Drosophila melanogaster: one gene and its partners. The protein of the gene in region 4 interacts with the protein of the main gene of each other region in a pairwise test. Each region holds a gene or a part of one and is shown on either strand. Other genes may lie near its edges.

Region 1 (9,498 bases), on a different chromosome or scaffold from region 4:
CCGACCCACTTCAGACCACCCATTTCAGACCGACTGCCACCCACCAACTCGCGCGCTTGAGCTCAATGGTGCACCACAAAACGCGCAGCCAATACGCCCGCGGGTCTATGGTAACTTGGGATCAGAGGGGGTGGTATTGGGATATGGGAATGGGTATCTATGTTGGTACTGCACAAGCAAAAAAAAAACTGTGGCATAAAAGAAAAAACGTTATTCATATCAGAACTAAGATACTTAAGAACTACTAATATATTAATATGTATATATAGTATAGTACATAGTATAAGTATATACTATACATAATTCTAAGAAAATAGAATGTAATAATACAAGGCAACAAATAGTATGTAACTTAATAGTTATATAGTTATATTTTATATTATGTAAAAAGAATTAGATGTTTGACAAGATGATTGACAGCATTTATTTTTTTCGAAGTGCACTTGGTATTGGAATGGATGCCAACTAGCACGCGAGATATTGATGTGCGCAAAATATGCCAAATATCAGTGAGGAGGATGGCCCATACATTATACAATACACACATGTGCACGAGTGTGAGAGCTGCCAAATCAAGCGCAAGCCCAAAAGTAGCAACAAATAAAATTTTATGCGCTGCGCGAAAAGTTTTTTGCTTTTGCATAACGCCCAGCAAATCCAACAATGGCCACAACAGGGAGCATCATTGGGATAGGCAATGGCAATTTACATGTACAATGCAAAAGTTTCGATTTTATTGTGTGGGAGTGATGGGGATTTTCAATTTTTTCTCTTATTTTTCCGGATGGATGGTGGGGTGTTTTTGAATGGGTTGGGTTTTCTGGTTGAGATGTCTGATTCTGTTTGTTTTTACTCTGACAGCCATAGGAGATCGAAAACGCATATACTCCAATACTCCACATTCAACGTTCCACGATAAACACAAAGGGCAGAAATATCGAGCGATTGCCGCTGCCGGCGGTTGCCAAAAAGTCAAAAATAGTTTCGAAACGCCATTTGTTGTACTTATTTTGGGGAATGCCAGTTAAGTGGAGTGACTTCATTTGCCATAACACACTCGAACAAAACCTGAATGTACTTTTCGATATCAGTTTTAAATGTTTAAAGGGGCTTTTTGTGGAAGCATTTTCTAAGAAGAATCAGTTTAAGGGCATATTATATGAAATATGTTTTCTAAGTCCTATATACAGCATATTGAATTTGATGTACGATACATTACATCTTTTCTTTACAAAACTGCTAAGTCATCCGATTTTCTATTTGTCGAATGATATAAAGAGATTGAACTCAGCTTTTTTGGAAGCCAGATAAATTGTTAGCAATTTCAAGCATGAAACGCATCGCATTCTACTTATGCACATCTACTCAAGCCGAGATGGATGCACATAGATACTATATGGCACTCTAATGTAGTTTATAACCACAATTTAACATGGCCAGCTACCGCAGATGCGGTGCATTGCCTTGGCTATATCTAATTTGCATACTGTCTGGGTCGATTATATTACTGATGCTGATGGATTCCGGACGCATACTAATCAATTGGATTGTTGAGTGTTCATAAACCGAAAGCCAATCAGTTCAGCATTAAGATCAGCCATGTTGGGGATTCTACAATTAAGGGAAAACAATGATATGATGATAAGATATTTGATAAATGTATCTGAAATCTTTAACTCGTATCTTTCTTAAGTTTGCAGAATCGGCTCTGATGAAGCTGTGGCAAGGGCCTCCAAACGTATTAGCGCACCCATGACAGTTTAAATTTCCACAGAGCCATTTTTTGTGCTGCGCTTTTCGTTGCATATTTCAGGGCGCCGCTGCCCATTGCTCTTGTTGGCCAGGAAACACAGCGAACTGCCAAATGGCTTGCGCAAAGCGGAAGAAAAACTAAAACAAATGTCAGTCGTAGTTGACGCGTTGCCACCGACCACCAGCCACCAGCCACTAGCCACCGGAGCGGTTCCAGAGCCTCCCTCCCCCCGTCATCAGCCCCTTGATCCCTGCCAGCGAAATGCAAATGTCATTTGCAGTTGACACTTGACTCAGCACTTCGCACTGTCCTAGGGCACTTTGGGGTTTTCACCTGCGTCTTTGCGCCCGGTTTGCCGCTTTACCCCAAACCCAGCCCACTTCACTTCACTCCACCCTTAACCATTTACTGCGTTTGGTGGCACAATGGCTGCTAGACTCACACACCCGCGCAGACAGCTGGGTGAATAAAAGAAAGTAAAATAAAACAAAAGTTGGGGACTAGCTCGAAAAAAAATAAAATGGGGGCAAGCTGGGGGAATAGGGTGTATGGCAAAGGGGTGCGAGGGGTGTCGACTAATGCCAACTGAACATGAATAAAGTCGTGGCCCCTTGGGAAGCTGCTACCGCTGCCATGTCGTCGTTATTCTCGTGGTCGTCATTAGGAGGGCAGACGTCAAAGTATGCGCTTTGTTTTTGCTGCGTGCCATGCAGCGTGTTAATAGCCAGGCACCGGGCTCCAAGCCACAGCGAGAAAATCCCCCCCACCCTGACCGGAAATTTGAATTAATATAGCATTCATAAGATAAAATCCCAAAAAGTCTTAGATTCCTAGATGTCAATGGGTTGCGAAGGGTATAGAAAACAAATGGTTTATAATAATTAAATAAATTATAAATATAGATCACATTTTAAGGTAAGCTAATTCTATGCCAAATTCTCTCAGTGTATTACCGTGAGGCATGAAACCGCTTGCCGCCCGAAAGCCAAAAAGACCAAGTTGACATAGTCTGGTGGATGGGTGAGATGGATCGTGATGAGGGGCCGTGGCGGTTCACATGGACCAAGAGCCATGGCAAAGTCAAGTGCTGCAGTTGCCGTCGTGTGGCGAAAGTGAAGCTTGCACAGCGTGCAGCGAGTGGCTGACATCTCGTGTGGCTGTTGGTTGAGCGTTGAGCACATTAAATTGATGCGCTTGATAAGGATTACAAAGAAAAAGTGGCTTAAAAAGAACACGTATTTAAAAAAATTGCACGAAAATTAAACGTTTTGTACAGCAAGCCAAACTAATTTAAAACATATTTCCACTTTTAGATTATATTTATTAAAACATTTTAACATTGAATGTTTTTTTTATATTCGAATATATTGAGGTTCAACGGTGCGTATGCGTAATTAAGACGCCACCTGTTCGGCTAGTCATTGAACTTGAAAAAAGCTTTGAGGGCTCTTACTTATGCTAACATCCCCAAGAGGGCGACACTTGGAGTTCAGTTTAAAATATAAAATAAATGCTTTATATTGCTCAAATTTTCCCATTAGAACATAACTATTAATAATTTAATTTATTTTCCAGATTAGCTTTGAGTACTATTCCACTAAATTCAGACACTTTATGCAAATGACTGCCAGTCATAGGCCTGCAATTAAATTGTAAAAAATGCAAGATAAACTTTAAAAATTTCCCAGCTGAAATGATTTTCATGCCATGACAATATAAAAAAAACCGGAGAGTGAGTGCTAATGGAATCGCAATCACTATAGTGCCGAGTTAGCGAGCCAAGAGAGAGGATTCGATATTTTGTTTACTTTTCAGTTTCATCCCCACCGGCTGAAATGCAACTTTGAGCAGTTGTCGTTCGACTGGCGCGCCAGCTACGTACTCCGGAAAGAGTCACGGATTTTCTGAGATTTGATCATCTGAGATCGTCATATTCAAGCAACCCTTTTTAAAACATAAACAAGGTAAGGTTTTTGCCCTTTTCATATGGCCTTTTAAGGAGCAAATAAAAGTTATTATCTGCAATTACGTTGATACATTCTTAAAACAAATAAAAACCAGGAGATAAGTGGCTTTATAAATAACTAATTTTATGAAAAACCCGTAATATAACGACACATAACATATGATGTTTTCAGCAATCCAAAACGAATCGGCAATGTTCGAGGAAAACAATAGCCCCACAACCGATAATTCGCTGTGGACACTTCAGGGTCGTCAAAGAGCGAGTCCCGCCCAAAGGTTGCACAATCTCACGTCCGCCGGCTCATCGACCTCATCCTCCGGCCTTCCGTTACCGCAGAATATCTTCACAAATCCAGCTATCCAGCCGTCCAGCGTTATAAATCTCAACCACTCCACCGACGTGGTAATCGGTCCCATGACCCAATACCAGGGACCGGTATCCATATACTATATGGATTATATGGAGGCACACGCCATGCAAACGGCTGCAGGTGAGTCCCCGATCCTGAATGGAAAATTATAGTTGTAAACGGGAAAATTAAAGCAACAATTAATTAATAAAATTAACATATTTCTACTGTATAACAATATAACAATAATATACGAGAATAATTATATTTTTTTTGCAAATACTATTCACTTTTTTCCCAATGTTTTTAAATATTAAGCTAAATAGTGCAGGGTGCTGAACTTTACCCAAATAAAAAGGTATTTTTTTTTGGTAAATTTAAATTATTTTAACATAATATATTTATTTTCGAAACCGGTTGTTTTAAATTTATTATGTTCAGTTGCCAGATCGTGGTTAATTTCGATTTGGGTATATCAGCAAGTTTTGATTCAGATCACGAATCAAACTAATTACTAATAAAGTGTTTTATTACGATTTCACTTGACAAATTCAACTATACGACAATTGCATGTTCTGAAGATCTTGTTCAAAATGTTAGCACTTGCAATTAGTCAGCTTAAATGAAAAGAAAAATTAAATATGTATAATTCATTATGGATAATTAGTTCCACAACTCGATCGATCACTATTCTTTGGCTATGGGTTCAATAATTTAGCGAAAAGAACAGAGCAAATGAGTGAAAAACCAATGTAATTGAAATGCAAATAGCGTGGGGCGGGATTCCCGGAATAAACGTACACATAAAAAGTCGGGATCTCGAGCAACAAGAGAGCACTCAACGCTCAGTTGCACTCGGTGGTGGTGAGAGCTAGTTTGTGGATCAAACTTTAGCCACTTGCGATGCACGGCGCATATTGCGCATACGTCACGTAGTACGGAAGAGCGAAAGGGAGAGAGAAATACGAGAAGTAAGAGTGCAAAGCGTGAGTGTGTAAAAAATGTGATATGCCAAAACAGCAACAAAAGGCCGGCGATATCATCATGACGCACCCTTGCCGCCCCCTCAAAACCCCACTTCCAACCACTTCCACCCCCCCCCCCCTCGTCAACTCAACCCCTGGCCTTTCTTCACGCAAGCAAACACAAAACATGTCAACGCAAGGGTAGAGCGAGATGGCTGACTTCCAGCGCTTTTGCAATTTGTATGGCTGTTGTTTCTCTTTCTGTTCCATCGACAGCTGCGCCGCATTTCAGTTGTTTGTGCGACGGGTTCAGGTGCGGTGGCGGTACCAGTGGCACTCCGCCGTCCGATTATCGGTCAAACCCATTGTACCACATTATAAAACAATCAATTTGCAGACCACCGCTGTTCCCAGTATTTGCTATGATATTTGTTACCGATGACTCAGTGGTCAATTACTCATAATAGATATATAGGCTTATAATGCCGTGTTTTGTGTCCAATAACGAAGAGGTGTGATAAGCTTAGTGGATCGAAGTGCCATGAAACTGTTACTAAAAGTTCACTCGGAACGCACGGCGCGCAGAAGACGTACACCCGAACCCAGTTTAGCCCACTCCCGGGATTCATCAAGTACATACATAAAATCTAATATCTACTAATAAATTAGATTTACTCAGCGCTTTCACAGGCTTAACTAGATCCGTGTTTTCCGACACCGAAAAAAATATTTAGAGGCCTGAAAGATAATTGAGCTTAAAAACGTTTTAAAATTATTTAAATTTTCTAGATTATGATTTTAAGTTTCCGACTTGTTTGTTGTTATAGAAATATAAATGCTTTTGATATGCAAAACCGTAAAATGTTTCAAAAACATTTTAAGTCAATATATCCATTGAAACGATACAATTTCTTGGCTTTTGTGAATCATATGCTAATTGATTGACTTTCGCTAATTAAGGAATCAACAGCAACAATGCCAATGGTAATGGCAACGCCAATCGAAGTCGTGATAAGTCGCCATCTAGGCGGGTCACTCGGAACACCATCCTGCTGATCACGCTGATCCTGTTGGTCCTGGCCACCGGATTGATTGTGCTCTACGTGGAACTCAATCGACCCAAGCCCGAGTTGCCCAGTAATAAAGCCATCTATTTTGGCAACAACTACGACCACCAAACGTGTAAGTGGATGGCACTTGTATAATCCATATAGCCAATTCACCAATTCTACAGTTCCGAATCTAGGAAACGGCCATCTCGTCGTCGACAGAGAGCAGTGGGGAGCGTCGAAGAACTCTCATGGTCTGACCATTCCCCTGAAGCGACCCATTCCCTACGTCCTAATCACCCACATTGGAGTGCAGTCTCTGCCCTGCGATAACATCTACAAGTGCTCCATCAAGATGCGCACCATTCAGGATTCAGCCATTGCTGAGAAGGGTCTGCCGGATATCCAATCCAATTTTTATGTAAGCCTGTTCTTGTTCTGCACTCTTTTACGCGCCTCAATGGGAAACATAGTTCCTAAAATAAGCCTTGTATAATACTTTTTAAGCCTTAAAAATCAAAATTTCTTCGAGTGTAGTAGGGAAAAGAAATCCCGGCGCGTGCATTTGTGTTCCCATCACGTTCACGTGCCATTTTGGGCATTTCGCTTTCCGCTTACGCAAATTGTCAAATTTCCGAATTTGTTTCGACCAGGTTTCGGAGGAGGGTAACATCTACGTTGGCCGCGGCTGGGACTGGGCCAACACGTATGCGAACCAGACATTGGCCATTACCTTTATGGGCGACTATGGCCGGTTTAAGCCCGGTCCCAAACAGCTGGAAGGTGTCCAATTTCTGCTGGCCCATGCAGTGGCCAATCGAAATATTGATGTGGACTACAAACTAGTGGCGCAAAATCAGGTATAATTACTTACTATATATCTGGCATATCTGGTGACATAATAATTTAATTGAATATTTTCCAGACTAAGGTGACCAGAAGCCCGGGTGCATATGTGTATCAAGAAATCCGGAACTGGCCGCATTTCTACGGCTGCGGAATGGACGAAGCACCGGCCTGCGGCATCGAATTGGGCATGAAAACGGAATCGTGGGACGCCAAGCAATAGCTACAGACTTTTCTACCACCTAAGTGTAACCAAGCACAAACTGTATTTTAATACATATACTAAGGCGAATGGAGCTTTCTTTTAATCGGTTATGCTGGCTTCGAAACCAAAGTAAACCGGTTGGGAGCAAGCGGTTTATTTATAGTAATATATATATATATAGTGTCTCTCTTCCTCTCTGGAGCTCTGTTTAGTTTTACTGTCGCTCAAAAAGCTGGAAATTCCCAAGCCGCAGTCAACCTCTATCAGTGCCAATACCAGTACCCCTTTTATTCCCTCATAGACTTTAACACTCATCGATCTTGTGTGTGTCTGTGTGTGTGTGTAAATATATGAGAGCCTTTGTGCGCCAGTACAACATCATTATCGGTAGCTTCACTTCACTTCACTTATATAGACGATGTTGTGATCGCTGTGGCTGCCTTTGTCATTTATCTGCCTTTCAACGTGAATATATGTACAATGATAATAATGATGTTTTATTTTTGTTATCATATGGAGTCATTACAATCCTATTTACAGGAAGACTGGTAATAGCAGAGAAATATATTAAAAATGAAATGGATATTTGCCAATAAGATCTGCTATCATCACCGACCTTCAGTTCAAAGCCCTCAACAGAGAAGTACGTTCGATGATTTATATTGGTAAAAAAAAAAAGAAACTCCTTCGAAATGTTTATGTTTTTAACTTGCGCATCAAATGATGAGCTGAAACTATGACGACATGGAAAGCTAATAAACTAGTGGGTGTGCCTTTTAACCCTCTTTTCATCAATGACCTAAAGTCCAACCTGCCCAAAAGAGTGACGTACATACATTCATTGACTAATTAATCTCACGGCGCCTTAAAAAAAAAATTATACCTACAACGCGGAACGAATTTTTGGCCAAAACAATGACGAGAGTACGGCACGTGTAAAAACCAAAAAGAAGAAGAAAAAAACACATATGCGAAGAGGGAACCAAAAAAGTAAAAATAATTAATAATAATTAAGGTAAGAAAATATGTGGAGGTAGGTATATTAAAATAGCTATGGTGATTGATTTCGCAACCGTTGTAAAGAAATTATTATCTGCTTCATTGGAAATGATTTACAATAATTACTGGCATTTTTCGCAATAAAATAATGGGTCAACAAAGAATAGATTGCCTGGCTACAAAAGGCATAAATCATTAGATGTTTCGGTGTAGAACTTTAACTGCAATAAAATAATACATTTTAAAGGCCACTCAACAAGCTTATCAGTAAGTCAGGAACACTGAGAGAAAAAATATTATAAATAGTCTACAACTATTTCGATTAAAGCTCGTTGCGCTTTCCACTTATAATTATATTTTTATTTTTCTTTTCTGTAAGCGTGTTCGGAATTCGTTTCGCCAATTTGTTGCTCTTTACGTTTTATCCATCAACAGTTTCCCGGCGCCCTTTTCAGACTATCAGAGATCGCCGAACCGCCGTTCGCCTATAATTACATTAAATATTTTTCAACACAAGTACAATGGGTCAAGCTGGAATTGGAAGAGAAAAAAAAGAGCTATGTACACATGTACATATGTATACATATATATATATATAACTGGCCTGTACCACAAAGTGAAATAGCCAAAAACCGATTGCGGGCCGCAAAACAAAACAATTCTCGGAAATGGTAGCGCAATTTAAAATGTTCACATTTTTGCCCACACTGCAATGTCTGTAAGTGTTTTGGTAGACGGGAGAGAGCCGGAGATTTGTGTTGTTTATTGGTTGAATAAATAAAAAATATATATATTTATATACATACATATGTACATATATAATACGTATACGCCGATTTGTCTGTGTCGATGTCGGTGCGGACGACTAAACAACTAAACAAAAACAAACAGTCATCGTCAGGTGGGAGAAGTTGGAGAGACCATTCTCGAGCCACGGGGCGTAGCTGGAGGTATCGTTATAAATTTGACTAATATCTGGAAGATTTATAAAAAAAAACCCGAAATCGAGAACAGGTTCCGCGACTTAATGACGCTCGGAAAAACCGAAATATGCAGCTCGCCAGATGCAGTTATCGGAATTCTTTCGGTTTCTTGGGATCACTCGCTTTTCGTTTAAACCAGTTTCGATTGAGAAAAAGTTGTACCGCTATCATAAGTTATTAAAATGTACAGTTTTTTTTAAGGAAAATTTAAATCATTGCATTTTATTGGTTAACGCTAGATTACAAAAAGGATAGAAAATACAACAGAACGCGTTCATATTATGTAATATGTAAACACTATATGTTAAAAAATTATATTTTCTAAAACGATTTAGAAGTTTTTTGGAACAAGGCTTTTGAGTTGCACTCTTAAGATCTTTTGA
Region 2 (7,271 bases), on a different chromosome or scaffold from region 4:
GCGTTGTGCAGCGCAATCGCATGTGGAACTTGGTGTCGCCCATGCAGCCGGAATTTGAGTCCGGGAAGGCCATGTAGCAAATGTTGCTAACCTCCTGGTCGCTGGGCATGAAAGCCGGCGGATAGACGTGCTCCAGCGCCTGCCCAAGATTTAGATCGAAGGTGACCACGCAGAAGCAGTGCATCCATTGCGAGAAGTTCACCCAATCGCTGGCACTGGGCTCCGAGTTCGAGTTGGTGGCATCCACGTTCTGGTGCTCCCTCTCCCGTTCGGTGGTGTCCAGCGATGGCGCCATCTGCTTGATTCTCGCATCCGCGCTCATTCTGTATTTTGTTGATATTTATTTATTTATTTGCCAGCGACATTGACAAGGGGAATCAGGGAAGGGCGATAGTTGTTCACTGCTTGCAGTTACCGTTATTATCGCCAGTCACCATTTAATGCGATAGTATTTGCTAATAAACAATCATTTGTTTTTAAATATAATAAATTAGCGCAGTCATACTGTTCGTTAGCTTTTCTTAACGGTTTGTTATTATTTTTATATATTACTAAATATTTATCTTGTTTCTTGTCACCGTTTGCAATCACTGCTCATCTCTATGTGCAAATTTATCATTTCAAAACTTTCACCTTTTTTTTGCTTTTCACCAGCGCTGCCACTTTGGCGATTTAATCTCTTGAATAATATAATATAATATAATGAATATAATGAATAATATAATATAATATAATTATAATAACCTTTGCAAACAAAACAGATCTTTAGCATTTTCTTAATAAACGTAATGAAATAAAGTTGAATTGAAGTGACCAGTGTTGGTTAACCAATTAACTAGCTAGTATTTTGATATGGTGACGAAGAGACCATATTTAGCGATATCCAGCTAGGCTGTCAGCACAGCTAGTGATGGGCAATTAGTGCACACAATACAGGTTTTATTTTTGAAATAGTTGGTTAAGCAAAATCAGCATAATTCACCGCCCATCATCAAAAGATAAAAGAAATAAACAAACATTCTAGCGCACATGGCAACACATGCAACCGACGCAATTCCCTTTCGACAATCAGTTTAATCGCAGGCGCAACTGTCGGCAAAGCAATTTGCCGCAAAATCATCGGCGTCTCAGTGTAAATTCATGCGACTTGCGAAATGCCAATTGCGCTTTTCAAGTCCGTACGCGAAGTGAGCAGCGAAGATGCGGTGAGTAATGCTCCTATATAACAAATGTACATCTATATAACTATGCAATCCCGCTGGCCAGGTGCACGTAGCGGCGAATCTGCTCAAGGAAAACGCCGGCAAGAAGTGGCGAACCAAGGCGCCGGGAGAGAAATCCGCATACGTTGTGCTGGAGTTCGAGGAGCCGCAACAGATTACGGGCATCGATATTGGCAACGAACATGCCGCCTTCATCGAGGTGCTGGTCAGTCGAACAGGCTGCCAGGCGGACGATTTCCGCGAGCTGCTGCTATCCAGTTCGTTTATGACGCCCATCGAGAGCAAGAATTCCAGCAATCCAAATCGCGTTCGCTGTTTCAGTAGCACTTCGCTGGCGGAGAGTGCACTGCCGGAGAAGTGGAAGCTGCTTCAGATAGTCTGCACACAGCCCTTCAATCGTCATGTGCCATACGGGCTCTCATTCGTCAAGGTGCATGTAGTGGCTGCTGCGGCGCCTAAGGTCAAATCCCTAGTGCCGCAGGGTGTTATGCAATTCGGGACCTTTAAGCTGCGCGAGGAGTCGCCGGACTCGGAAACGGACAATCAAGTGAACAGATTTCACAGCTGGAAGAAGCAGACGCAGCACAAGTCGCCCGCGATCAGTGCGACCTCCACAGCAGCGGCCATTCGGGACGCCGGCTCCACGGCCCTGCGAAGGCTGAGCGCTGGCAAGGTTTCTAGCCTGGCTGCATCGCCCAAAACCTCGACGTCGCCATCACCAGTTCTCAATGCTCTGCGATCGGTTTCTCCGACGCCATTGGATGCCAAGCCCCTGGATCGCAATCGAGCTTCACTCTTGTTCGGCGACGATGATGAGGACGTGAAGGACGCTGAGGTCAATGCAAAGAAACAACGGCTGAGCAAGCATCTGGAGGCGGACAAGGATCGACGGCGATTGGAGCAGGAAAAGGAGAGGGAGAGCAGAAAGAAAAAGTCAAGCAGGCACTCCTTGGATAAGTCAATCAGCAAAGAAGACAAACCACCGGCAAAGGAGCACAATTCGTCCTCCAGAGAAAAATCCACAGCCAAAGAAGAGAAAGAGCAATTACGAAAAGAGGAAAGATCGCATTCGAAGGAGGAGAAGTCCAGGAGGAAGGAGAAATCTAAGCATGATCACAGATCTTCGGACACCTCGAATTCCAAGGAAAGTTCGCGCCCAACTGCGCAAAAGCGACATTCATCTCCCACCGCAGTCGCAGTAACGCCCGCCAAAAAGCAAAAGATCGTGGACACAGCGATTCAATACCGTCCCCTTAATCAGTTACTCAAGGGTGTGGTCCTGGTCATCAGTGGCATACAGGCAAGGAAATTCTTTTGATTGCATCACAACTCGATTTAAACCCATCCCTTCTGCTTTCAGAATCCCGATCGTGCAGACTTGCGTTCGAAAGCGGTCGCCTTGGGAGCCAAGTATAAGGCTGATTGGGGATCAGGATGTACCCATCTGATGTAAGTGAAGTCCAGATTGATCTAGTATGCGCCCGCTAATTCTTAAAATGAAACCCAAACAGATGCGCATTCAAAAACACACCGAAATACAATCAAGTGAAGGGCAAGGGCAAGATTGTGACACGCAGTTGGATCGAGAAATGTTATGAGCTGAAGAAGTACCTGCCATGGCGACGTTACGCCCTGGATACCAATGACATTGGCCAGCCGGAGAGCGATGAGGAGCTTTGCGATGAGGCGACGAGGCCACGGCGCGATTCCAGCAAGGATGATGTGGCAATGCTAGAGGATAGCAAGCTAACAGCTCTAGCGGATCAGAATGATGTGGAAATGAATCCAGATGCCTTATCGGGCATTGATACGGAAGATGAACTGCAGCGCGTGGCTGAGGGTAAACTCTCTGTTGTTCTGCCCTGTTTTTTTTTAGATATTTTATTGTTTGCTTTTAGAAAACAAAACGAAGAAAGCCAAACTAAGGACTACAGTAAAGACGAAATCGCAAGATATATACGAAGTTAGTACCGATGAAGAGGATTATCTGGAGCTAAAGAAGAAACAAATCGATTAGGTGCCATTTCTAACCTCATCTCATATTTTGTATACGACTTTATTACTTAAATTGCTTGTAATGTGCAAGTATCATATTTTTGTACTTTGTTAATCGAATATGCTCGTTATCAAAAATTCGACAAATTCAAAATAAGTGATTAGTTTGGACCATTTTGAAAAAAGAGCCCAAGGAATAAATATTGATATTATAATAGATCTATCGCATGTTCATTTAAAAAAAACTATCAAATAAACCACCTCTGGGCTAATGCGATGGTCCATCTCTAGCAGAAATTCACAAAAAATGTACTAACGCATAGCACGGTACTACAAGGACTTTCCACCCATAGGCATGCTATGGTTAAGCGAAGAAAACCCGTTTACGCCCAAAACTATGCATTAAAAAGACTAAAAAGATAGCGAAAGTGCACAAGTGGAAAACCAATTTGCAGCCCCCGAAAAGAACAAAAAAAAAAACAGGTGGAAAAGCAACAGCTGTCCGCTTTTGACAGCTGCGCTCTCCGCGCTCTCCCACTCGTTGGCGAGAGCTAACGGTGAAAACTCTCTCACTCGCCTGCAGTCGTGTATTTGCTGTCGAGCGAGTAGAGAGCTTTTTTTTTGGGAATTTAACAATCCAGCGCAACTATTGTTTATTTATGGTAAATATCTATGGCTACCACTTGCGTTTTCGCAATGCGATTCACCCAAGCATCCTGGCCAACGCAGTTCCATCCGGATTTGTGCCACTGCAGAGATTCCACTCCAACCTTGCTGAAGCGAAAACGAGTGGTGAAAAGTTGTGGAATTTGGAAAAATCGATACGATTGAGCCATAATTAAAAGTATGCTGCTAACTTGCACTTCACCCCCCCTTTTTTTTTTTAGAGCGTGCCAGTCGTTGAAAAATTGAGTTATTAACAACAAAAATTTTGGGTAAGAAAGTCGTGCTGAAAACGCTGAGAAAAAGTGCAATCCAAATGATTTCGAAGCTATTCAGTGAGAAGTGGAACATTGGGCAGCCTGGGAGTATGCATCAGTTTTTGCACATACCGAATATCCTTCTAATTTTTCTCATTGGTAACTCAAATGTTCCTCAATTCTCTGATGATATATTTTTTTTTATTATCGAAATTCATTTGGAATCATCTTTTTCTCCGTAGAGCAGAATGCCCTGCCTTCTAACGCTTGCGTTCCATTCGCAGATCTAGACCAGAGAACTAAGTAACCAAAGGCCAGCATGGGTAACGAGACCTCCCTGCCCATGGACATGTGTTCCAACTTCGATGCGGACGAGATCCGTAGGCTGGGCAAGCGATTCCGCAAGCTGGATCTGGACAACTCGGGTGCGCTGAGCATAGATGAGTTCATGTCGCTGCCGGAATTGCAGCAGAATCCGCTGGTGCAGCGGGTTATCGATATCTTCGATGCGGATGGAAACGGGGAGGTGGACTTCAAGGAGTTTATCCAGGGAGTGTCGCAGTTTAGCGTGCGCGGCGATAAGCTGTCCAAGCTGCGATTCGCCTTCCGCATCTATGATATGGACAATGATGGCTACATCTCGAACGGGGAACTCTTCCAGGTGCTCAAGATGATGGTGGGCAACAATCTGAAGGACACACAGCTGCAGCAGATCGTGGACAAGACCATTTGCTTTGCGGACAAGGACGAGGATGGCAAGATATCGTTCGATGAATTCTGCTCGGTGGTGGGCAATACCGATATTCACAAGAAAATGGTTGTCGATGTTTAGATTGAGCCACATAATGAGTACTATATATATACAATTGTAGATATGATACAATATGTATAGCCGATTTTCCGTAATGAGTGTGTGTGTGTGTGTGTGTACCTTCACTTCCCTTGAAACATGTTCAGCTTTATAATAAACGGTCTGTCTGTGAGTCTGTGAGGGCGTTTGAGGCGTGCCAAAAACGAAGCAGTTTACTCAATTTATTGATACCTATCGCATATATATAGAGTACACTTTGTTCCAAACGATCCAAACCGATCGATCTCTATCATCCACAGAATGCAATGAATTGTGTCTTATACTCATACTTGAAACCACCGGCAACGGACCACTCAACCAAAGAACTCATCTATACCCCTCCTTCCATTCCTCCTTCCATTCGAAATGACATACTTTCGAGGTTCGAACAGCTCTACGATTGGGATTGTTCGCATCATCTTAAACTAGTTTGTACTATATCCTAAACTCTACGTTCAATTCAAGCCTAACACTTAAGTTCATCTCTCGACTAAATGTTGTGTATAAGATATGTAAAAAAATCAAAAAAAAAAAAAAAAAAAAAATTGACAAAAGAAAACTACAACAACAACTACAATTAAACACTGTTTATCGCAAAGCTAAACTCAAAACCCCCAACAAGCGTTTACTTGGTGATTTTTCGTTGTACTACCACTATCTGTTGATGGGAGGTGGACGAATGTGGGCTGGGTTCTTTGGCCGGCGGGTTCAGATGCCCTCAGAGTTCCACGGTCCGCGAGTCCTTGGACGAAGAACACGTGCGTGTCGTTCAGCTCGGCGCCCGAAATTCCGGATTCCCGAAAGCCGACCCCGTAGAAGATGGTCACCACAAAATGTGGGAAGGAAGCCACCGGCCGAAAGTAACCGAAAACTTTTTGGCCGTTGGCAACGATTAAATGTTTTGTAGGTCACCGATTTTCCAACTACACGTGTGTGTGTGTGTGACGTCCCTCATGTGACAAGACACACCAACATACATGTTACGTATACGCCACGTTGTTTAGAACAAAGCAGTGGAAGAAGTTCATCCATGTTGAGATTAAAATTACCTTAGTATAGAGCAGAAATGTCACAAATGAGTGGGAAAAGTTTATCCATTGATATAAAACATCTATCTACTAATGAAACATAAATATTACGTATACGCCACGTTGTTCAGTACAAATTTGCGAATGCGGAGCCTTCCTGTGGATTTAAAATAGAACATAAATATCGCAAAGCATTAAGAGATGATAATCCATGTTGATATAAAACACTTAAAAAAATGTTACGTATACGCCATGTTGTTCAATACAAATCAGTTGGAGAAGATCATCCCTGCTGCCGCAGAATACTATTTTATATATTTCCCACATTTTTGGTACCGAACTCAACAAGAATTTCTCGCAGTGTGGACAACAGGAAGCCAGCCAACTAGCTGTTGGGTCCGCGTAGAACTTGTACGGTAACAGAGCCTTGACCACGGAGTCACCTGCTGGGCGATTGGGCCACAGTATTAGTGAACTAGGGAGGTCCTGCGAGGGTCCTTTGTGTGCGCCAGTGTGCGAGAATGCGTGAGTGTGTGTGCGTGGTATCAATAAATTATTATATGCTGTCTGTCGCAAGCTGGTTCGTTAATCATTTTCGCCTGGGCCCTGCCCCCCGCCCCCTGCCACCTGCCCACGCTTCGAATCCGACCTCCAAATGAAGGCATTTCCATTTTGAAAATTAGTAGGGTTAATGCTGAAGTTACACCCGTACACCCGTATACCCGTACACACGATTCCCAAGGAGCAACCTGCAGCCCACTAATTTCGCTCCTGTTGCTGCGTCACGAGCCCACGGTTTGACCTTTTTCCGATTGCTATTAATTGGTTTGATTAATGTGCTCCAATTTTCGGATGGTACGTAATGTCGCCGGTCCCCAATAATCGAGCATTTCCATACCGACCAATGCGTCCATCATTTCATTCACGGGACTTGTATTAATCGATGGGCCATACATACAATTTGTTACTTCGATGGGTTTTTCGAATGGGACAGGTGATATATACATTTATATATTTCCGGGCACGGCGAGGAGATGATCAAGTTTAGATAATAGCATAATATATGTATATCTGCGCTTCGGGCAAATATTATTCAATTTTCTATCGAAAGATTACCGGTCGGTCATTGATGTCATCCCAAAATCTGAGGCACCCCCATCTTGCCACAAAACCTATTGATCCCTTTTTTTGTATTTGTGTGTGTTTTTTTTTGTTTTTGTCTCCGTTTATTTTTGGATACCTTTTTGCCGCTTCT
Region 3 (8,187 bases), on a different chromosome or scaffold from region 4:
TCCATTGTGCCCCAGCGTCCATGTCCACGTCACTTAATCTCTCTGTTCACCCGGCGGCTGTCATACATGTGCTCAGTCCAAGCCAACAGCCACGGAGCCTGCCCACCAGAAACTGCTCTAACGTATTGTCCTCTTTCCACAAAGACCATGATTCACGAGGGCGGACTGGTGCCTAAGACGTTGTACAAGATGAATTCGCTGGAGGATCACGACGACGAAGTGACCGCCGAGCTGCCCACCACTGCCGCGGCACAGGCTTTGGTTCCAGGCAAGCGCCTGTCTGCCAACCAGCAACACGATCATCGCAATCTGTACAAGAGTGTGGATCTCAAGGCCGGATTCGCGCACGAGCTGCTCATCCGGAACGAGGATCCCAAGAGTGTGCTCACCTGGGACTTCGATGTGATGCGCAACGATCTGCACTTTACGCTCTACCGGGTCACCCAGGAGCTTCCGGAAAAGAATGGTGAGTTAATAATGCACTTACAAAAGGTTTTCATGTTGCTTTTTGTTTTTCTTTTGTTCTGAGAACTGGTTTTGGTTTCAAAGGTGCGAATATCACGATGTTGTTGCCTCATTAGAAGTTGTTTTTGTTTACTTAGCACTTTTATAAAAACACAAAGCCACGATAAAAAGCGAAAAATGCGGAAAGTGGAAACTCTTACACCCTTTCGAAAAGAAAAGAAAATTTGTTGTCAGGCAACTTAAAAACAAATTAATAACGTTTGGCTTAAATTGAATAGTTTACTATTACAATTAAGTATTAAAACGTATGTTAATTTGTGTATATATTTATTTATATAAATTTCCAAGGTATCTGTTGCTAGGGCTCTATTAAATTGATAACGCGCGCATTTTGGTTCCGGTTTATTGATAGGGATTGCTTTTCATATGTGTTTTGATAATGTAGTAAAATACGAAAAAGTTGAACCTTATTTTATAAAGCTTTTTGTACTTTGAACCTTTTAATTAATTAACTTGATTAGCTTGACAGCTTACATATAATTAAATGCCCTTCGCCCACAGATTCCGCCGTCTCGTACTTTGATCTGCAGGACTTCGTCGAGGGCGTCAATTATTTCCGTGAGGAGCCAACGCTGATTTGCCGGCACAAGGAGAGCGTCCAGGGGTCGCACGTGATGCATCACAACGACAGCTATCTTATGCACTGGTTTAGTCCATCGGGTGCCCAGTTAAACGTCTTCTACGAGGTGCTCAGCTCGGCCAACTACAAGGGTTCGATGACCAGCCTGCAGTCGGCATTCTCATCGAACTCGTCGGCGGCCAGCTCGGTGCAGAGTCGATGATATGAGAAAGCCGGGGATGGCGGAACGAACGGCGCCGAATGGAGATCCCCGGCATTGGAGGAGCCCATAGCGGCGGACATTCTCACGGGCACCCTGATGGAGAAGAGCCTGAATCTATTTGAAACGCCGGACGTATTCTTTTAAGACCGAAAGTGGTAATATCTTGTGTTTTAGTTGTCTTTAGTTGTTTAGCAGAATGTTAGTTTGATTTTAAATTGTATTTAGCTCAAATAGGCCATTTATTTCCTTTTAAATTTATTATATTCATTCAATATATACAAGCATTCATATTATTGATAATCTTAAGAAAATTAGAAATATCAGCGGTTTAAATGAGCAACACCAAAATATCACGCAACGTTTTATTTGAATCGTCAATTTGAATTTTTCGTAAGCAGCTCTATAAATGAAGTTTTAATGCGTACATATATATGTAAAAGCGACGTAATTTTTATAGCTTTTTCTAATGGAACATTTTTTAGCAACAATTAAGGAACTTATTGCGATTGCGCAGCCACTGAAACGAAAATAGAAAAAATTGAAATTGTAATCAATAACTACGTGTTACCTAATTAGTTTAATAAACAAATTGCCGAAATGGCTTATTGCAAGGATTTTAGCCAGAACTTATACAAAAGAGTGAAATGTAAGATTTGAACTCGAAATACACACGTAGGTTATAGCTAGACGTCAGATTATAATTATAAATGTAAAATTGTATTTTAAACATTCGAATGCAGAACGTTTTTGATTGCACACTAATTACCCCGTCATTTGTACGCCCTTAATTGCTAATATCAATCAATCTCCAAAGTGTTTTTAAAATCAAAAAAGGCAACTTCAGTGTGTTTTTTTGGTTATTATTTATTGTATTAAAAACGAATTACTATGCGGATGTTTACAATTTAGTTTTATAAATAATCTGACGTGTATTGTAAGAATAAACTGACAAGCCAATAACGAAGGAAAAATGAGTGCATGTTAACTAAGTGTGTAAGTTGTATTAAGAACGTAATCAAATAAATGCTATTAGATCAATTACATGTACATATTCGCATTTTATTGTGGGCTCTTGAAAAAAATAAACTATTCAACAGTTTTAATTAAAATCAAATTTAGAATCCATGAAAATTGTATGGTATGGATATGGATGCTCTTTTCATATTTTAAATGTGGATTGTAATGTTTTTATATATATTGTAATGTTTTTATATAACAAAATAGATAAAATTAGACCAGCAAATGACTCGTTTCTGATAGAAAGAATATTCAAATTACGCGCCAGACCTACTATTCCAGCCCTGGCTACCTTGAGAAGGTCTGGCAACGCCCCCGCTAAAACATTTTGTGAAAACATTGAATTGTGATATTAAAGAAAATTAAACATGAAATTTATGTATATTATGTATAATAATTAAATAATTATATTATATAATAATTAACAGAATTTAAAAAACTTCACATTTTGTATTTATATAACACCGTTCTTTCTCATGGCTTAAGTCACGTCAAACTATGTTATCTTCAATGGTGAAAAACTGGGTTAAAATTGTTTGTTTATCGCGCTTGTTGTTGGCTGATGGCTGATAGGAAATTAAAGCAATGTTTGTGGCCGCTAAAAGATTCGAATTTCGCAGGCAGCACCCACCACCACCTGCACGGGCCGCCCTAATCCCGCATTCTCCTAGGGCCCGTATCTTATCCGCGGCGGATGCAAACCACTAAAAGGCTACTTGGCCATGAAGTGCGGATAAGCGGATTCCTTCTTATCGCCGCTGGCCATTGGACATTGGCTATTTTACCAATAATAGTTACGAGTGCCTGGACTTTCAAGCATTTCGCGCCTAGCATTCGAAGCAGCCAGACCAGTCGCTAGAATCGAACTCCAACATGGTTGCATTGAGCACAAAGTAAGTACCCCTGCCCCACAGCCCCATCGCCTCGACTGACGACCACAACGTCCACCAATCCAACATTCCAACAAGAGCCAGTTCTCTGGGCAATGGCGAGCGGAGTAGGCGATGGCGATGGTGGTGACCAAAACGGTCTGAACTCATTACTAACCGCACTGGGCGACTATTACAGCGGCCGCCGGGAGGAGAAGGCTGCAGCCAACATCTACGATGACAAACGGATCTTTCCCGACTTCCGTAGCGGACCTTTGGAAGAGTACCGTGAGCGGGCTAGCTTCTGCTACAAGCGCATGAACGTGGTGCTCGAGGGCGAGGATCACATACGGCTGAAGGTTCGTTACCATTTCCAGTTTGTTACATATGTACATGGTCAGCGGGGTCGAAGTGCAGACTGCCTCGATAGCTTTTGTCGGAGCTGCAGGCCGCCAACCGCCCGGTCTAATCGTCGCCCGTTTCTTATCTGCACACTTGAGTAATTCGTTTACATGTCACTCCGTCTTTAGCACAAGGTGTGGCAATGGATGGAACAGCACCCCGACTACCAGCGGGAGCCAGGATCCGATTTGGAACGCACCCGCGAAATGGCCAACAAGCGGCAGCATCTTCTGTGGGAGCAACAGTTCTACGGCGTCAACGAGGTAGGATGCGTTGCGTACTCCTGAAAGTGTGGCTGCCTAAATCTCCTGTCTTTCTTTCAGTATCTTGGAACCCCACATCTTCTGCTTGCTTTCGGACAGGCCATCTTTAGCTACGATTTCAGCACTTCGGTCAAGTTCGGCCTTTCAACTGGCATGTTCCCCAGCACGCTGGTCTCCAACGGATCTGGCCGCCTGGGCAAGTACGTGGCCAAGATCGCGGACAACCGCATTTTGGGCGCCTACGCTCTCACTGAGATTTCTCACGGCACCAACGCGCTCGGCATGCGCACCCGTGCCACCTACGATGTGAAAAGGCAGGAGTTTATCATCCACACGCCAGACTTCGAGGCGGCCAAGTGTTGGGTCGGTAATCTAGGCAAGACTTGCACGCACGCAATCGTCTACGCCCAGCTGTACGTGCCGGATGACAAGCACCAGGGCCTGCAGGCCTTCCTTGTTCCCATTCGGGACGAGCGTACATTGCTTCCATTCCCCGGCGTAACCGTCGGCGATATGGGCGAAAAGATCGGTCTCAATGGCATTGATAACGGGCAAGTACTTTCTTCTATCAGTTGATAAAACTAATCAACAGCAACAGAAATAATTTCGATTTGTTTGGCATTGCAGATTTGTGATGTTCAACCAGTATCGTATCCCTAAGGCAAATCTGCTGTCCAAGACCGGTGACATCGATGCGCAGGGAAACTACACCAGTAAAATTAAGGACGAGCGTAAGCGCCTTGGCGCCTCCTTGGGTGCCCTCTCCGTGGGTCGCGTCAATATCACTGCTATCACGTATGTGGCCTTGAGCAAGGCTGTGACAATTGCCACTCGCTATGCGGCCAGCAGACGCCAGTTTGGCCCTACCAACAGCCCGGCGGAGTGGCCCGTGATCGAGTATCAGTCACAGCAATACCGACTAATTCCCCACTTGGCCACCACAATCGCCTTGCGGGTGGCCACACTCTGGATAGGCAAAGAGAACGTGGATTTGACCATGAAGGGCTTCACTGGCGAGGACACGTCGCAAGCGGGCATGGAGATCCATGCGATCTCATCGGCACTCAAACCAGTTGCCACTTGGGCTGCCAGGGATGGCATCCAGGTATGAATGCTTTATATATGTATATAACCACTTTTACTTATCGGTTATATTGTTTTAATCTCAGGAATGCCGCGAGGCCTGTGGCGGTCATGGCTATCTTAAATCTTCTGGCTTGGGCGAACTTCGCAACGACAACGATGCCAACTGCACCTATGAGGGCGAGAACAACACGCTCATCCAGCAAGCGTCCAATTGGTTGATCAGTCTGCAACGCAACAATGCCGACTTCGTGGCAGTTTCCCCATTGGAGACAGTCTCCTTCCTGAAGGATATGGACACAATTCTGCAAAGCAAGGGTCAGGAGCGAACTCCTGCCGAAGTTTTGGATCCGCTCAGTGAGTATTTCTTAGTTATCCAAATATAAGATAGGAATAACGCAATTTTATTGCACTTCTATAGATCTACTTAATGCCCTCAACTGGCTTACCGTCTGGCAACTGGATACGACGGTGAAACGAGTTGAGGAACAGCAGCGCGAAGGAAAGGATGCCTTTGAGACGAGGAACAACATCCAGGTCTTTGCCGCCCAGAAGCTCTCCATTATCTACGGCGAGGTGAGATGCCAACCCTCTAAACCCCAACTAAATAGTAAAATAACCAAGTTTAATATTCTTTTAGCGCACCATCTACTACGTGTTTTATAAGTTTGTAATTGGTCTGCCCGACTCTGCTGAGAAGAAGGTACTGCAGCAGGTGCTCTCCTTCTATGGCGCCCACTTGGTCACAAAGTACTCCGCTGCTTTCTACCGCGGTGGTTACTTCCGCGAAAACTCTAACCAACTGGAGCTGTACGAACAGGGCATTCTGGCTCTGCTTCCCCTGCTGAAGAACGAAGCCATTGCTCTGGTGGATGCCATTGCTCCCACAGACTTTATTCTAAACTCTCCTCTGGGCATGAGCGATGGAAACGTAAGTGGTCTACCATAAGCAACTGCTACTCTTACTAAAGATTCTATCCTTTCGCAGGTCTACCAGCATCTGCAGCGCACGCTTGTCTCCACTCCAGGTGTCTACGAGCGTCCTCATTGGTGGCGTGATGTTACCTACAAGGATTACCTTAAGCGCGCCAAATTGTAGACTCACTGTAAAATCCCAAATAAGAAGACTTTACTCGTTGAGTTTTTGTAAGAAACTGATTTTATTTGGAAATATCTTCGGTTTAAATAGGTGACATGAGAATCGCATCTTAAAGTAAATGGCCTACGCAGAGGCCTAAGTAAATAGTCCCCGCCTTATCGAGGTCCCACGCTCGGGCACATCTGCCTATCTTGAGCGGCGAGGACCTTATCTGTGGTCTCCCACTAAGGGACTATTTTAGGAGGCGGGGAACGATCTCAAGTGACTGACTCATGTAGTGTGCACTTAAATTACATGTTTTTGAGCAATGCACCCATGTCGCCTTAGATAACAAAATCCTAAATATAATTTATCGCTCTCGATTCATTTACATAAGATATGAACGGAGCCCAAAATTGTAAGTCTTTAAATATATTCGTGTTCATGTGTGAACATTCTGCCAAAGGGCCAGCAAGCTGAGATGTACATTAGTATATTAGTTGCATTTATAACAGTAGTGGACTGTATTTATTTGATATATGTTCATTTATTTTGCAACTAAGATTTCAATGGGCCTAGTTTTTCTGGCTTTTAATTTTATTGGATTACAATTATGGTTTATATTATTTTTAATTCAACAATTTGTACTCAATTAACTTATTTTAAACATTTTGCTTTTTCTATGTAGAAGTACATTTTCTATTAAACAACGATATAGTGGACTGTATATTTTTATTTGTTATATTATTTTATTGTTTATTTACTATTGATATTTATAGTACTGGCAACGGACCTGCAAAGGTTATTGCTTGCATTCTTTGTTGCACAGCACATTTCCGTATGAAATATATTATTAATACTATCATTAGTATTAAAGCAATAATTAATCCAGCATGTCCGGAAATATGATGGAAATGTAAATCTTTCAATTTTTGATGGTTCTCTTTCATAAATTTAATTTCATTATTCAATCGTTCAAATTCCTCAGTATGATTTAATATTGATAGTTTCAGCGGATCCCAAATAATCTTCGGCGCTTCACTAATTTCTCCTATATAAGGTGTTGATAATAATTCTTCACTTTCGGACTGAATGTTATGGTGGGCAACTAGAATTTTATCGTCGGTTCTTGCCGTACAATATGGCGCAATGCTTAAAACTCCTTGCTGAGGCAAATCAAACAATTCAATTTGAGAGCCAGTACATTGCAGACGGACTTTTGAATTCGCAGGAACCTTAAACAACCAACTACTTTTCTTTTCTAACTCTACCCAGTAACTTTTAGAGTCGACTACTGTTTTATAGATGCAGTTCGCCGCTTTATCTGGCTTTAGAGGCTGAATCTCACATGCATTATCATTCGCTGAATTCCAGGGCCAACTTCCTTTGCATATTCTCTTATTTAGTTGCCATTTCTGACATTGATTTAATGTGGCTTCCGTCATTATGTGATAGGAATCTATCTCAAAATTATAAATTAAATATTCGGACGTTGTATGCACCATTATTATCCGATCTTCATTTCGAATTGGCACCGGAATAAGCCTGAACAATTTGGATGGATGCCTGCTAAACAGAGGCACTTTTGCACTAATGATCAATTTATCGTCGATGAATAAACCCCTGGCTGTTAACAGTGTATACACTTCCTTAAGTTCCGTACCTGACCGTTTTCCTGGAATTACTAGGTTCTCCGAAAGACTCTGCTGAATTTTGGCAATTTCTTTTTTAAGCTGATTTGGCCTGAGAATATTTGTATTTAGCCTACCGTGATTAATATCAATCAACAGGCTTATAATGCCTGCTTGAATTTTTTCGCCTTCTTCAATCAATGAGTGTAGCTGTTTCGTAATCATAAAGAATTTTATTGATTCCTTATAAACATAATAATTTTCTTTAAGAACTTCTGTCATGTTCTCAATTCTTATTTGCATACTTCTAAAATTGGAGTTAACATCTTCTGTTGTTCTCTTTAATAGATTAGAAGTTGAATCAACCACAGATGTTTGTTTTTGAATTAGTTTATCAAGGTTGTTCTGGTTATCTAACAAATTCTTCATATTTTCTTCTAATTGCTCTCTATCATCTTCATCCATTATACCAAATAAAATATGATACAAGGAACCCATAAATTCGAAAGGAGCACGCTTGCTTCTAGATCTAGACTG
Region 4 (6,512 bases):
GCACCATCTGCTGGAGATTACATTTCGGCACTTGGAGGCGATCAACAGGTTGTATCCGGATGCCAAACGGCATATGCTGATTGACTTCACGAAAAACACGCTGCTGGACTTTTGGAATGCCAGCGGTGAGGATGCGCAGCTGTCCATCTACCAGACGAATCGGGCCTGGCTGCAGTGCTTTAACACAAAGATATCGCTTTTGATTCGCATGGGCTTTCAGGCCATGGACGGTAGTTTCATCAGGGACGTGGATCAAGATTACTACGCGGAATACGTTGAGTCAGCCGGCGATAATATCTATGCGAAGAGTGCCGACCAGCGGGAGCGCCAACAACGGGAGCCCAACAGCATGGATCAGCTGGCCGCTCAGCTGAACATAAATCCGGCGCAAAGTGAGGATCTGCAGCCCATCAACGCCCGCCAGTTCCAGCAGCAGTTCGAGCAGGCCTTCGGCAATGTGCTTTTCAATGACACAGCGGCCAGCTCCTCTGGCTGCGAGTTTGTACAGCTGCAGCCCACGACATCGGCATCGTCCTCGGAAAAGGTGGCGACGTCCATGTCCCGGGGAGGATCCTTGCTGAACCAGAACCTGCTGGACCTGTACAGCAAAATGCCTTGAGGCCAAAGTCACTTCGTTTTGAAAATATTTTATTTCTGCTTCAGTTGGTTTTTGTAAAATAATTATAAAAACGACGTAGGTTGCATAATAATCCTTTGTTTGTTTGTTTTCATCGAAGACATTGTTGTGATCAAAAAATAAATAAACTTTAGAATTTTGAACTTTCGAATTGTTGTGAAATGTGTGGTGGGTGTGCTGGGCGTTGTGTGGGTGTGCTGGGCGTTGTGTGGGTGTGCTGGGCGTTGTGTGGGTGTGGTGTGCGGGCTTGGTGCGGGGTAAAACATAATCAAAGGTCGAAAATGTACAATTACAAATATAAAAGTTAAGGGCATGCTCCCTCCCCATCGCGCTGCTGCCTGCGCTACAGACTTATGGCAACAACATGTATGTATAATCAATTACTCTCCTTGATTTGTGTCTCGCTTGTAATACGCTGTCTCCAGTTAAAGTTAGCAAAGGAAAAGTTCGTCCGTGTTGGTTGTGTGGGTTGGTTCAGCGGCAGGATCCGATTACATCTTCGCCTTGAGCGGCACTGCGTCCGCCATGATATGCAGGGCCATCTTTAGGCACTCCTCCGCGGAGCTAATCTGCTCGCACGGATAGTCGTCACCGTATTGCGTGAGGAAGTCGCAGTACTTTCGATAGTTGCTCACCGCGAAATCATAGTTGTAGGAGCTCAGTGCCAATTCCGTGTCATCGGTAACCGATGGCACCGTCGCCTTGTGCGGCATCATTCCGAACATAGGATAGTTCAGCTCGCAGCCCTCGCATTTGCAGTCGAAGCGGTACTGCAGGGACAGCCTTTTCAAACGCTGCTCCTTGCTGCAGATGGCGAAGTGAGCACTAAAAAGTTGGATATCTATTAGTTTTAGTATTTGAAGAGAGCTGCAGTGACTTGGACCCCTATTAGCTTGAACTAAAGTGGTGTGGTCAGAATGCTTTGGTTACTACTTACCCGTAATTGTCGTAGAGCACATTTCCCGCCTTAATAGGCCGCAGGACGAACATGTACGCCTTGGTGCCCTCGTATATCCTTACAGTATTCGGCGCACAAGAGTGATTTATGAGCGAGAGGAAGGCGTACGCCCCAGACGAGTGCGTCTGGTCGTCCTTGGTCTCGTTAACCTGCTCGACCAGGTCGATGCCGTGCATATTCGAGGGAGATGTCTGCAGATGTCGGAACAGGAGGTCCGTGAAGAAGTTCACGCCTTCTTCGCCGCCCAAATATTCCTTGACGGGTGTGTATTCGATTATGAAGTGCTTGAGCACAGCACAGACCACGGAGCGCTGGAAGAGATCGGAGACGGAGCGCAGGTGCTGGTTTGTCACCAGTCCATGGATGGCCCGGTAGTGCTCCTCCGGCGTCAGCTCGTTGTAGTTGAGGTCAAAGGCGCACTTGTCCTGGTTCTGCTCCTGCTCACAGAAGTCAATTAGCTCCTCGATGCTGGGAAAGATATTCAGCGCGACCAGTGTGGTGCGCAGTGCGATACAGTGGATCTTGTTGAACATGCGGTTCAGAAAGTCAATGATGGGGCACTCGTAGCGGTGATAGGTTTGCATGGCAATCGACTTGCACTCCTCGGAGCAGAACATCGTGGAACAGCAGCTGTCGCAGGGTATGAGGGTCAGATAGTTCTCCCGCTTGCAGGTGGCACACCGAATGTATCGCATCGGCGTCAGCAGTGTGGAGCAGAAGGGCTCCTCCACGGACACAAGATCCCCAACGGCCAAATCCCGATTGGTCACCACAAAGCGACCCTCGGCGGCGGTTTCGCGCAACTCCAAACAGTCGGCGATGAAGGGCACCTGGGCATGCGGTTCGAAACTGAGCTTGAACTCATAGGGCACCACATCCGGCGGTTGCTGATCGAGTAGCTGTTGGCAGTCCCTTTCTCGCTTGTCTAGTTTGTGGCTCAGTCTCGCCGGATAGTTGGCCTGCCTTGCCAGCTTGATATTGTCCAGGCATTGCCGATAGCGCTTCCACTCGAATAGTACCGCCGACCGATTAGCATAGCCGATGGACAGGTGCTCCGAATTCGGTTCGGCATAACAGATGCTTTTGTTGTACAGCTCTAGAGCCTGAAACGAGTCGCAGGGATTAGCTTAAGTTTGCCGATTGAGGGGGCAATGATTACCTGGAAGTAATTCCTGTTCTTGAGCGAAAACTGCTCGTTGCCCAGCATACGGAACTCCACGCTCCGCTTGTTGCACTTGTCCTCTCGAAGCGTTACATTCAGGAATATCTTTTCAATGTACTTGAAGTCAATAAGAGCGCGCATCACGAAGTCAACCTTGCGATGGTTCTCCTTCAGCTCGTTGAACTTGCCGGATATGATGCCGATTAGTTTCCAGTCCTGCAGCTTCTTTATCAGATCATCGCTCACGTCGTACACGTCCATCTCTTGTGCGGGGTAGTTTCGGAAGTCCTTAGTGTCCTGGAATTTTCTCCGGATCGGATTAGATCTGATCGGATGGCTTCGGATCCTTTGGTTCGGTCCGCGTGTCGACGCCGCCGCCTGTTTTTTTCAGCCGGAAAAAATGTTCTTTTGGCCCACTGCCGGTGCCGCGATTTCTTTAACTGGCGCAAGTGCTGACCGCTAATTAGCGATTTCACGGGCGATTACTATTCGGAAATATTCTAATTATGCACACGGCGATTTTAATGTTATTTTTTTGACGATTCCGCTGGAAGCAGTGTGGAGTATAGCCTGCGAATATATAACCCAGCACAGAGGGAAATGTACTAAAAAATGCCGCAAGTTGACTGCTTGCACTAGCCGCGACACAAACCCTTGGCCTAGCTTAAAATTGTTTACAAAAATATTTGAAATTTGAAATTCATTAAATAAAAACAGGATAAAAACTAACTATAAAGGCAGAATTTTGTAGGTTTCTGTTTAAATAATACAACGCCCAGCACGCTTGAATTGTGCCAAAATATATATGTTTAAAAAAAATATATATATATACATTATAAAAAAATATAACTGAGCTTTTGTTTACCGCTAGCTGTCACAGTGTCTCCACACCATTAACTGTAATAGGCGCCATCTTTTAAAGCCATTCCGAGTATGTGCACACTGGCGGCCGTTTCACTAACAAATTTCCTCTTCAAATCGTACGACGTTCTAGTTTTCTAAGAATCCGGGGAATTATTGGCAGCCAAGTTCTTTATTTAACAAACGCTCTGTTCTCAGGCGGCCGCCGCACCAGTCCGGTTCAAGTTGAAGGCAAGGGAATATTATTTTTAGCCAGTAGGCCACAGCTAAGTGACATCGTGTTGTGTCTAAAAATTTTGTTTGGCTGCGTCTGCAAATAAATCAAACCGATTTCGTATCAAATCTTGGGATCCAAATCAGCAGGAGGTGTGTACGAATAAAATTGAAAATATAGATATAAGCAAAAATAAAAATTTTTACGCAGAGATGCCCATCATTCGGCTGGAGTCTGCGGACAAGGAGATCTTTGACACGGATCAGGAGATCGCCAAGTGCTCGGAAACGATTCGCATTGCAATAGAGGATTTGGGCGATGAGAGCGACAACAGTGTGCTGCCGTTGCCGAATGTCAACTCGCTGATCCTGAAGAAAGTGCTCCACTGGGCCACCTATCACAAGGACGATCCTGTGGTTACCGAAGAGGTTGAGAACAAGGAGAAGCGCACTGATGACATCTCATCCTGGGACGCTGACTTTCTCAAAGTCGACCAGGGCACGCTGTTCGAACTGATCCTCGCGGCAAACTACCTGAATATCCAGGGTCTGCTCGACGTCACCTGCAAGACGGTGGCCAATATGATCAAGGGCAAGTCGCCGCAGGCTATTCGCGACACCTTCGCCATCCAGAATGACTTTCTGCCACAGGAGGAGGAACAGGTGCGCAAGGAGAACGAGTGGTGTGAGGATAAATGAATACCATCAACTTACCATGACGAAATTAAAGCTTAAATTTTTTGTTTAATCAACATTTCAATTGAGATAGTTAGCTGATCATGTTAAGAGTCAGCAATTGTTCTGTTGGGTTAATTAAATAAAATATTATGCTTTAATGTTGGCAAGTGCTCTTTAACAAAGGAATTAATGACAAACCGTTTAATGTAATTTACAGTGTTCTTCAATTTGGAATTTATATTTGATTTAGTTAATGTAGTTTAAAGGCCGTGGTCCCGATGGCATTCGCCAGATTGGTCACTTCACCCGGAATAGCTAACAGATGTGATGTCGACGGAGCCCAAAGCTAGCAGCAATCGGATGACGAAGAGGGCGATAACCACTTTGAGGACGATTCGCACGCAGGACAGCAACAGTCGGAAGCCGAAAAGTATTGCGTAGCACGTAGCCCCCAGGAACACCACGTATGTGATCAGATCGCCCAGAACAGAGTACATGGACGCGTTCCTGTAGACACATTCAAGGAACTGCGTGCCGCATTGTTCGCCATGTCCCCAGCCGTATTGCTCCCGTCCGTTGCCAATACTGCAGCTTTTCTCCATGTTTAGACTGACGTATATGCTGGATAAGCCGACAAATGGGACATTTCCTTTGTCCAGTGTGCAAAGCAAATCTTCCAGTTGGAAAAAATCAGCTGTCTAGTGTGACCGCATTTCGATCGTAGTGGCAGCACTGCATTTTTTCAAAACATCGAGGTATGAGAAATGGATAGAATTTTTATAAACGTTACTCGTAGAGTAAAAGGTATACTAGATTCGTTGAAAATTATGTATCAGGCAGAAGGAAGCGTTTCCGACCATAAAAAGTATATATATTCTTGATCAGGATCAATAGCCGAGTACGCCTGTCTGTCCGTCCGTATAAATGTCGGGATCTCAGAAACAATAGATCCTAGAGAGTTGAGATTAAGATTGAGATTAAAACGGAGTAAATCGAAACGGAGTAAAGTCCTGACTCAAATATCTCTAACTTCTAGCGGCTCTAAATTGGGTCTTGACTAACTGTCGATAGCCCCAAACAGGTCCGCGACAAAGATGAAGTCTAAAGCCTTTATAAGTAAGAGGTATGTGATAGTCTACGGTTTTTAATGTTCGGCGATTGTGTAGTACATCACAAAAAAATTAATTATAGCTACGAAAACATAAAAAATACATAATTGGTTTTATTAAATATGCAAAACTTTTTGTTTACAACCTATAAGTGTTTAATGCTTGGCATCGGCAGGAAGTCCAAAATATTCTAAAAATAGCTTGTACCTTTCAATTTTTAAATAAGTTCTAAAATAAACCGCACTTTATCAATAAATGCTGTTTCACTTATCACAACCAGAACCAAGAGCGTTTGATTAAATTTATGAAAAGTTTTTAAATTAGCAGCATTAGCAACCGCACAGCTAATTATTGCAATTAATGTCACTAATAAAATACAGCTTAAACAATAATGTATGAAGTATAGGTGTTTTTTCAAATTGTGGTTTGTTCTCTGGATAACGTGCATTTAAATTGGAGTACTAAGACAAACTGCTATGCCGCACTGATGGTTCCATTCTCGAGTTATCAAAGTGGCCAAACCCATTTTTTTTTTCAAACTACAGTGTCTTAAAGCTAACCTGGCCATAATTGTAATGGCGACCTTTAAACTTCAACGCTGTGCATTGAACTGGCTGAAAATTTGTTAAATCCCAGGGATTCCCCAGGGAATGGCTGCCGTGCAAAACGATACCTGAAACTGATGCTTCAAAAATGAAAAAGAATACAATCACGACAGGCGAACGAGCAATTTTATTTTTCTTAGAGCTCATTCGGTTCAACGTACTGCGTCTACTATTCGCCGGCAAAATTAAAATTAAATAGCAGTCAAGTCGCCCACCCAGCTTACAAATGTGAATAAATGGCGCAAAGTAGGGTCTTTTATGTATATTTGTACTTATTACTTACAGACAG

What was found.
Region 1: the proteins of SkpB (region 4) and PGRP-LA interact in a two-hybrid assay, tested with the Drosophila melanogaster proteins (one large-scale study listed by BioGRID).
Region 2: the proteins of SkpB (region 4) and CanB interact in a two-hybrid assay, tested with the Drosophila melanogaster proteins (one large-scale study listed by BioGRID).
Region 3: the proteins of SkpB (region 4) and Acox3 interact in a two-hybrid assay, tested with the Drosophila melanogaster proteins (one large-scale study listed by BioGRID).

What each region holds. Positions count from the first base shown.
Region 1 is NT_037436.4:9,330,719-9,340,216, forward strand, and holds PGRP-LA (peptidoglycan recognition protein LA), read left to right. Parts: upstream 1-3,613; 5' UTR 3,614-3,717; intron 3,718-3,891; 5' UTR 3,892-3,911; coding exon 3,912-4,209; intron 4,210-4,970; exon of another isoform or gene 4,971-5,039; intron 5,040-5,335; exon of another isoform or gene 5,336-5,574; coding exon of another isoform or gene 5,575-5,665; intron 5,666-5,993; coding exon 5,994-6,215; intron 6,216-6,267; coding exon 6,268-6,503; intron 6,504-6,735; coding exon 6,736-6,942; intron 6,943-7,007; coding exon 7,008-7,151; 3' UTR 7,152-7,618; downstream 7,619-9,498. UniProt on the Drosophila melanogaster protein: Peptidoglycan-recognition protein probably involved in innate immunity by binding to peptidoglycans (PGN) of bacteria and activating the immune response.
Region 2 is NC_004354.4:5,328,948-5,336,218, forward strand, and holds CanB (calcineurin B), read left to right. Parts: upstream 1-3,551; 5' UTR 3,552-3,571; intron 3,572-3,794; exon of another isoform or gene 3,795-3,880; intron 3,881-4,105; 5' UTR 4,106-4,153; intron 4,154-4,422; 5' UTR 4,423-4,457; coding exon 4,458-4,970; 3' UTR 4,971-5,502; downstream 5,503-7,271. Other genes in the region: CG3309 (uncharacterized protein), read right to left, coding at 1-322; XRCC1, read left to right, coding at 1,155-1,205, 1,267-2,523, 2,584-2,672, 2,735-3,063, 3,122-3,240. UniProt on the Drosophila melanogaster protein: Calcineurin is a calcium-binding and calmodulin-binding protein found in all cells from yeast to mammals, and a calcium-dependent, calmodulin-stimulated protein phosphatase.
Region 3 is NT_033779.5:6,442,972-6,451,158, reverse strand, and holds Acox3 (Acyl-CoA oxidase 3), read left to right. Parts: upstream 1-3,296; 5' UTR 3,297-3,309; coding exon 3,310-3,552; intron 3,553-3,723; coding exon 3,724-3,858; intron 3,859-3,918; coding exon 3,919-4,409; intron 4,410-4,485; coding exon 4,486-4,963; intron 4,964-5,027; coding exon 5,028-5,298; intron 5,299-5,362; coding exon 5,363-5,517; intron 5,518-5,581; coding exon 5,582-5,872; intron 5,873-5,929; coding exon 5,930-6,040; 3' UTR 6,041-6,089; downstream 6,090-8,187. Other genes in the region: retm (real-time), read left to right, coding at 145-466, 1,027-1,307.
Region 4 is NT_033778.4:12,137,457-12,143,968, reverse strand, and holds SkpB (SKP1-related B), read left to right. Parts: upstream 1-3,739; 5' UTR 3,740-3,984; intron 3,985-4,042; 5' UTR 4,043-4,044; coding exon 4,045-4,530; 3' UTR 4,531-4,674; downstream 4,675-6,512. Other genes in the region: Smyd4-4 (SET and MYND domain containing, class 4, member 4), read right to left, coding at 1,129-1,462, 1,575-2,698, 2,755-3,018; CG18343 (uncharacterized protein), read right to left, coding at 4,812-5,111.